Linked DNA regions of Rattus norvegicus. The protein of the gene in region 2 purifies or fractionates together with the protein of the main gene of each other region. This does not show direct contact. Links are inferred from orthologs where the notes say so. Each region holds a gene or a part of one and is shown on either strand. Other genes may lie near its edges.

The links. Proteins that work in one complex are often made in the same cells at the same time.
Region 1: the proteins of Nhsl3 (region 2) and Wasf1 purify together in Homo sapiens (affinity purification with mass spectrometry; 3 studies listed by BioGRID and IntAct, with this or other methods). This does not show direct contact. The link is inferred for Rattus norvegicus from reciprocal best matches to the Homo sapiens genes NHSL3 and WASF1.

Annotation. Positions count from the first base shown.
Region 1 is NC_086038.1:45,949,837-45,953,483, reverse strand, and holds part of Wasf1 (actin-binding protein WASF1), read right to left. Parts: coding exon 3,527-3,647; intron 1,591-3,526; coding exon 1,411-1,590; intron 412-1,410; coding exon 1-411.
Region 2 is NC_086023.1:146,874,668-146,878,994, forward strand, and holds the start of Nhsl3 (NHS like 3), read right to left. Parts: upstream 2,838-4,327; 5' UTR 2,702-2,837; coding exon 2,476-2,701; intron 1-2,475. UniProt on the Homo sapiens protein: Able to directly activate the TNF-NFkappaB signaling pathway.

The DNA.
Region 1 (3,647 bases), on a different chromosome or scaffold from region 2:
GGAGGAGGCAGAGGCGGCGGCGGCGGGGGCGGAGGCAGCCCCTGCACTTCACCTTGTGGGAGTGGATGAACGGGTACAGTCTCACACACTGGGGCGGCTCTGGCTACCGGGGGAGAGGGCTGTACTAGAGGAGGAGCGATTGGAGGAGGAGCTGGGTGAAGGACACCAGGGGCAATCTGAAGAGGGGCTGGAGGCGGGGGCACTGCTGGGGCCTGCAAGGCAGGGGCTGGAGGAGGAGGCGGGGGAGGCACCGGTGGGGGAGGAGTTGAGGTCATGGAAGCTCTCAGTGAGGAGGTGGACAGGGCAGACGGGAGAGGTGGTGGAGGAGGTGGGGGCGTGGGGCTCACAAACACGGGTGTTCTGCCTGCAGCTGGGGACTGGGGACGATTCTCTATCAAACCCGCAGCAGAGCTGAAACGACAGACACCCTAGACTTCAGTGACCGGCAAGCTGAGGAAGGAGACTGCAGAAGCAGTAAACCACTGTAGCTGCCCCTCAGTAAACCCACTAACAGGCTCCCATGGAAGCCTTCAACTATTTAACATTATTGCAAAGAAGTAGAAGTGCACAAATTCGCGTGAGGCTTTGGTTTATAATAATCAAACTTTCCCAACAGCCTCGATGTTGTAATTTCACGTCTCCTCGGGAGTTCCCTGCTTACCTCAGTAAATAGTGTTCAGTTCTACGCTGTGACAGGAGGAGGGGCTGCAGTGACCCCCCCCCCCCATGCACACACACACCGACTGCACTGACTTACAGCAGTGTTTGGCTAATGTGATGATGGCGTTGTGTACCGAGGCTGTTTCGGCTCATCATGTCATTTCAGTGAAGCCAATGCCAGCTCATTAAAAACCACAAAGGAAACTCACACCTCTTTCTTCCTAGGGCTGACAGACCAAATAAGCCAGTGATAGAGGCTTTGGTGGCTTATCCTGTTTTAAATGGGAAAGCTGGTCTGTATTTATTTCTCTATCAGGAAATCTCTTTTTCTAAGTTGGACAACTGATCGCATAAAATTTAAAACAGCCTTACTGAAATACTGCCACGAGCGACTTCCTACCATCCTGAGGCCGCCAGACTGTAAGACTTCATCTTTCCTTGATAACTATATACAATCATGCCAGTTAACAAAGCTGTAATCACACACGAAGACACTGATCCTGAAAGCAATTAGCTAAACGTCCCCAGGAGACCATGCCAGCTCTAACGAGAGGAAAGCGACCACAGGTCATGTCTAAAGGCACTAGCTCCTGTGTTTGTCATTTATGGATGGTCTCCGGCAGCTCCCACACAAAGATGGCAGACTTGTGATAAAGTGTTTATCCAGAGAGCCTAAAATGTTTACTACTGATCCTTCAAAGGGAAAGCTCGCTGATCCCCGAGACAAAGCGTCATGGCTGCCCCACATACCTGACACAGGTGGGGGTGGGTCTTGCATCCCCTGCTGCATGCATTGGTGGAGGTGGAGGTGGTTCATGGGGTCTGACTAAGACCCTCTCCTCAGCTCTGCTTAGGAGTTCACTCATCTGACTGAATGGCAAGGCAGAGAGTGAGTAAGATCCATCCATGTGGTCCACGTATGTCTGCGGCCTTAAAGAAATACACAGCATCAGTGTGAAACACAGCATCAGTGTGAAACACAGTATCAGTATCAGTGTGAAACACACAGTATCAGTATCAGTGTGAAACACAGTATCAGTGTGAAACACACAGCATCAGTGTGAAACACACAGCATCAGTGTGAAATACACAGTATCAGTGTGAAACACACAGCATCAGTGTGAAACACACAGTATCAGTATCAGTGTGAAACACAGTATCAGTGTGAAACACACAGCATCAGTGTGAAATACACAGCATCAGTGTGAAACACACAGCATCAGTGTGAAATACACAGTAACACACAGCATCAGTGTGAAATACACAGTATCAGTGTGAAACACACAGCATCAGTGTGAAACACACAGCATCAGTGTGAAAAACACAGCATCAGTGTGAAACACACAGCATCAGTGTGAAACACACAGTATCAGTCTGAAACACACAGTATCAGTATCAGTGTGAAACACAGTATCAGTGTGAAACACACAGCATCAGTGTGAAATACACAGTATCAGTGTGAAACACACAGCATCAGTGTGAAACACACAGTATCAGTGTGAAACACACAGCATCAGTGTGAAACACACAGTATCAGTGTGAAACACACAGTATCAGTATCAGTGTGAAACACAGTATCAGTGTGAAACACACAGTATCAGTGTGAAACACAGTATCAGTGTGAAACACACAGTATCAGTGTGAAACACAGTATCAGTGTGAAACACACAGCACCAGTGTGTCTGTTAGAAACTGTAGCTCCACAGTCAATCTCTTCAGTGCCGTAGTTTATTTCTGTGTGACTTGTATTAACCAATGACTGATGAGCGAAGTATAAAGTGGAACTTATCACCACTCGGACATTCTGTTGTCTTAAACTAATGGCTTCCAAAACTCTTGTAATGAGAACAAACTCTCCCTGCTTCTAGAGTCAGAGAGAGGCAAGAAAACTCAGAAGACAGCCGGGTAACATGAGATTTAGATAAACAAGACTCTAGGTGAGCACGTGAGGGTTTGTGATGGCAGCACACTCCGGGAGCACAGCTGGCTTAACAGACGTGCACAGCGCATGTCAGAAGCTCCTGAACCTACACAGTAGACGGGCCGGACGTCACCCATGTCTAACCGTAGCAGAAATGCTTACTACATGGGGTGTTTTTTGTTTTTTTTTTTTTTAATTTCTGCTTTTCAGTTTAAGCAGCTAAATAGTATCTCTCAGATATGTTTGCTCTTAAAATAGGCCCCGAAATTTTAGTTATGCCTCCAAGACTTTCTATGTGTTTTTAAAAGGAAACATTACATTATTTTCCAATAAAATCAGTATGGCAACATATACATAGGTTTTTTTTTTCTTTTCCACAGAGGCTTGAAAGTCTGTCTGTTACGGTAGCAGGTTACTTAGATAGGGCTCCTGGCCACTGAGAAAGGAACAGGATCTAACCCACATGTCTGTAAAAGAAAGTAATTCTGTCTGAAATCCCTGACGTATCTGAACTTAAGGATGTGGAAAAGAAAGGAAGTCGGGGGACAGAGAAAAAACAAAGTCAAACTTCTTCTTAACTCCTGCTTCCTATGAGACAAGAATCAATACTAAAATTAAAAATATTGCAGATACACGCTCTTATGGCATTCTAATACACTCTACCTCAGACACGAGGCAGTACTTCAGCCTTCAGATAAAAGCTAAAAGTGTACACTTTAAACTGTTTTCCTACAAGCGACAACACAAAGTCCAAATATGAAAATGACCTGCCCGAGCAGGCTAGAACTTAGCAGGTTCGGTGATCAGGGTTGGAATTATTTTTATCGTTAGAAAGCCTTGCAACTCAAGGGTTCAAAAGCTTAAGATCTGGAAGTATAGAAGTGTAGGTACTGCAGGTAAATCCAATGTTTACCATTCATCAGAAAATAGATAAGTAAGAGAAACCTTGTCTCAAAATGAGAGGCTGGGCCGTTAGCAACTTCGATGTGCTTGTGGAGGAGATCGGCATCATCTTCAGCCAGCTCTGGACCTTGGGCCAGCTTCTGCCATTCTCGCCGCCTGTCAT
Region 2 (4,327 bases):
TGCCCAGGCTATCCCGTTTCCGCAATTCTCTCCAGGCTGCCTCTCTGTAGAGTGGGCTGCGTGAGACCTTCGAGCCTCCCCTCTGTGTCTTCTGAAGAATCATGTTGGTTTCTGAAGCATCTGACTGTGAATATCAATCTGAGTTTTTGTCAAATCAGTCATTCGCCGTCACTAAGCCTCAGGGTTTTTGCCCCATGGGATACCCCCACCCCCACCCCCATTGAGAAGAGGTGTTGATATGTAGTCTAGGCTGGCCTCAAATGTATTCTCCTACCTCAGCAACTCCAATGCTGGCGGTGTGCTGCCACTACGTCCAGCTCTGCAAATGGGATCGAGTGAGGAAATGAATGTAAGTCTCCTGACACATTCAGAGTAATCCATCAATGTCAGGTTTCCTCCTTTCTGCTAAGGCTATGAGGGGAAGAAGAGTGTGGGAAGGGAGGTGGGGCACAGGAGATTGCAGCTCAAAATCACATTGTAAGCACCATCTCCCGGTTTACAGAAGAGCAGTAAGGGGAGCTGAGACCTGTGTCTCTCGATCTCTGGTTCTGAGACTGTGGCGGACCCATTGAGCTTCCCACAAAGGCCTCTCAGTCCTTCCAGAAAAGCTCCTAGTAGATCCCTCCTTCCCCAGTCTCCGTTCTGATGGTCATCTGCCCTGAAAGAGTTAAGCCTCCAGCCTCCCCTTCCTGGCCAGTGGAGATTAGAAAGATCGGATTTATTTCTCTTAATAAACAGAAAAGAAGCTGGCCCAGGCAGGTGACAGGGAAACAATCTGAACAATTGGAGGCTGGAGCAAAAGGGAGCAGGCTGCCCTCAGAAGTACCTGCGGCCACCTGCAGCCTCGGAAAGACAACCGCTCAGGGCAGAGGGTGTCACCCAGGCACGTGGACTCTGTGAGGCCAGCCTATTGCCCAGAAATCCCAGTGCTACTCAATACCAAACACAAGACAGGAGGCTAGGCCGCTGACCTGCCAACCCTAGGAGGCTCAAGTACTAACTTACCCCTATAGCCCTCTGCCTCCAGGCTGGTCACCTGAAAAAGAGAGTCACCTCCCTAAGATAGCCCACTCAACCACTATCCTGCCTGACCATCTGACCACAACCCGTATTGCTGCCTTTCTGACACAAGCTCTCTGTGTCAGAGGGGTATAACTTCACCCTGAATTCTAGTGGGGAGCCCTGGGACACATTCCCCTCCAGTTAGGGGCTGGAGAACACTTGGAAACACCACCCCAAGCAAACCTTCCCTCAGGGCTTGGCCCATCCATCTCAATCTAAGCGCCCAAATTTCTATTTGTGGCTGGGCTGCAAGGGAGCGGGGCCCTTTTCCAAAAGGAAGATGGGCCGGATGCAATCATACAAGAGGCTTTACACCCTCTTCCTGACCCCTAACGTTCTTTCTAACTTGCCAGAGGTAGTTAAAGGACACCGAAGGGAAACACAGCTAGATTGGAATGGGCCCCGATCCAGGCCACTTCCTCACCTTCAACACTTTAACTTGGCGGTATAGGAAAGATAAACTTCAGCAGCGGCTGGCCTCTCTACCCTCTAGCAGAGACTAAAGGTCTCCCTACCAAACCGAAGGTAGAAGCAGGAGATGAGGGGAAAGCCGGACAAGTGGCCAAAAGTACAGTGACCTTAACAGGGATAGAAGACTCCCTGTTCCTTCCCGTTTCTGTTTCTCGGGCCTCCCATCCCTTAGGTTCCAGGGAGAGCCATGGGCTCAAAACTTCCAAAGACTCGGAAAGGGCTGCTGGAGTTCACCTGGAGAGCCCATTTCACTTGCGCCTCAGTTTCCCCACTTTCAACACAAGCAGGTTCCTACGGGGACTAGGGAGAGTACTGAGAGAGGAGGAGCGGCCTCTGGTTCAGGATGGTGATCTCACCACTCAGGAGGTGGATGCTTGTGGTTTGGCCCAGGTAAGGGGGGTGTGGGGTGTGGAGATGGGAAAAGCTAACACTGCTAACAACCTAAGGCAAAGGACTCCGCGCTGAGTACTTTGTGGAGCTGGTAACCAGGATCTACCTGGAGGGCAAAAAAAAAAAAAAACCTCCTTTTTGAGTAGGCTGACCTTAAAGACCCAAAGAGACTGCCATTCCAAGACCCAAGGCCACCTGCCTCTCCCATTGGCCCCTGGCCAGTGTCAAATCTCCGACCCCCTGACTCAGCAGAGGGCAGAACCTGGGAGAGGGGAAGTGTCTTTCCACCAGGAGGGCCAGCCAGCCAGCACTTCCTGCTTAAACCGGGGGACCCCTGCCCCAGACAGGGGTCTCTGCCCCTCAAAGTTGGATAGACTGTGTCCCTGGAGCGGCGCAGGTCTTATCTTATGGTACCTTGGGCTCTTCACTTCATCCAAAACCACTGCCTAAGGGACAAGCCGTCCACATACAGCCGACCCCCACCCACCCACCCCAGAGGACCCACCCTGCCACACCCTTGGCGCGCTCAACCCAGGTGCCAGGCCACCTCACCTCGGCTTTTGCCCTTGGACCGCTTGGCCTTGTCCTCCGCTTTCTTGGCCCGCGGGGCGGCGGACTCGGCGCCCTCGGCCCCAGCCGCCTTCTTCTTGCGCCGTTTGCCCCGCAGCCAGCTGAAGGCGCGGCGGAGGCCGGAGCGGGACTTCTTCCTGCGCGGGGGGCCGCCGGGGCTCCCAGGCTCGTCGGCCGCAGGTGCGGCGGGGGGCGCGCGGGCCGCCATGGCGCGGGGCTGGGGACGCGCGGTGCCAGCGGCGGGGGTCAGGCCCCCTGCAGCGCGGCGCCCATGCGCGGGGGCGGCCGCCGCTGGAGACGCGCCCGGAGAAAAAAGTTTGGGCGGCGGAGGCCGAGGGAGAGCTGCGGGGGCGGGGGCAGCTCGGGCGGGGCCGCGGGGCGGGCGGGGCGCGAGCGGCGGGAGCGGCCGTCGGGGGCAGGGGGGGAGCGGTAGCAGCGCAGCGGCAAACCGCCCCTCCCCACCGGCCGTGCCCCGAGGGCGAGGTCCGGCTGCAGAGAAGGGGTTCCTCGTCCCCACTCCCCAAATTTCCAGGATCTGTCTCTCTGAAGAAGTTTGGGATCCGTAAGGCAGGAAAGGGCGCAGCGAGGTCCTGGGCTTGAACCATCCGGTGTCTCCTGCGGTTGGGAAAGACTTTTGCCCAGATACCTAGGACCTGTGGCAGGCATTCCCCTGGCTCAGGACCACAGCGGGGGGCCCCAGCCTCCAGCAATGCTCTGTGTTCCTGATTGTTCCTGATTCATTCTTGAGCACCTAGAGTGGGATGATCCGGCCTCAGTTTACCCTTAACAGGGCTGTGATTCCCCCAGGGCACTCATATTAAGACTCGGGCTTTCCCATGGAGATGCTCAACTAAGATAAATTAGGGTGGGACTTAAGGTAGGTGACTACTGAGTGCCTGGGGAGGCTGGTAAGAAAGCACCTTTAGAAGTCTTGAAAATGCTGTGTTCATTTCCTTGCAGGCCTCTGGTGCTTTATTATAGCTGACCAAGCCCTTTTGTATCTCTGAGTTTACAAGCTGTGAGGAAAGCAAGGTAGGGAATGTTTCCCTTTAGGACAGAAGGGAGAGTGAGGCCAGGAGGAGATCAAAGCCAGCATTCTGAAGCTCATCTCTGCCTAGAGGCTAACAAACCTCCGTGGTCCCCGGAAGAGTCTTGTGTGTCCCATGGTTAGAGTTGAGAGTTGTCTAGCATTATCAACTTGACACTTGTCACACAGCTTTCTCCTGGTCCTTGCCTGCATAAGGAAACGAACAGGAATTGATCACTCAGCCTAATCTCCCCTGGCACACAGTAGACCTCACTCTAAAGTTGTAAGGGGACCACAGTGCAGAGTGTGATCTGACCTGCTCCAGCCCCTGAAAGTCCCCAAGGCTTCCAGCTGTGGCGAACCTGGGGGCCAGGCAGGTTACCTACTGTCCACGCTGAGCCTCAGGCAAAGGGATAAAGTAAGTCTGCACTTCATGCATTCAGAACTGTGAAGGCAAATACTGTCTGTTTGTTTTCACTTATAAACAAGTCTTCTCTTAATGCCAGCCGCTCCCAGCAGGAGGAGGGGAAGGTGGATAGGAAACCAAACAGCCAGCCTTGCCCTGGCTTTTGGAAGGGGTGGTCAGGAGAGTGTTCAGTATTCCTGCCCAGTACCCACTCTTTCAGTACTGTCTTCCCAGTGGCAGAGTTTGGCTAAATAATCTAAGTCCTCTTGTTACATAGGATGGACCTATGTAAGCTGTTACCACCACCATTCCTGGCTACAAAAATTGTTGCTCTCTGGCTTGAGAGATGGCTCAGTGGTTAAGAGCACAGGATGCGGCCCCAGAGGACCCAAGTTCAATTC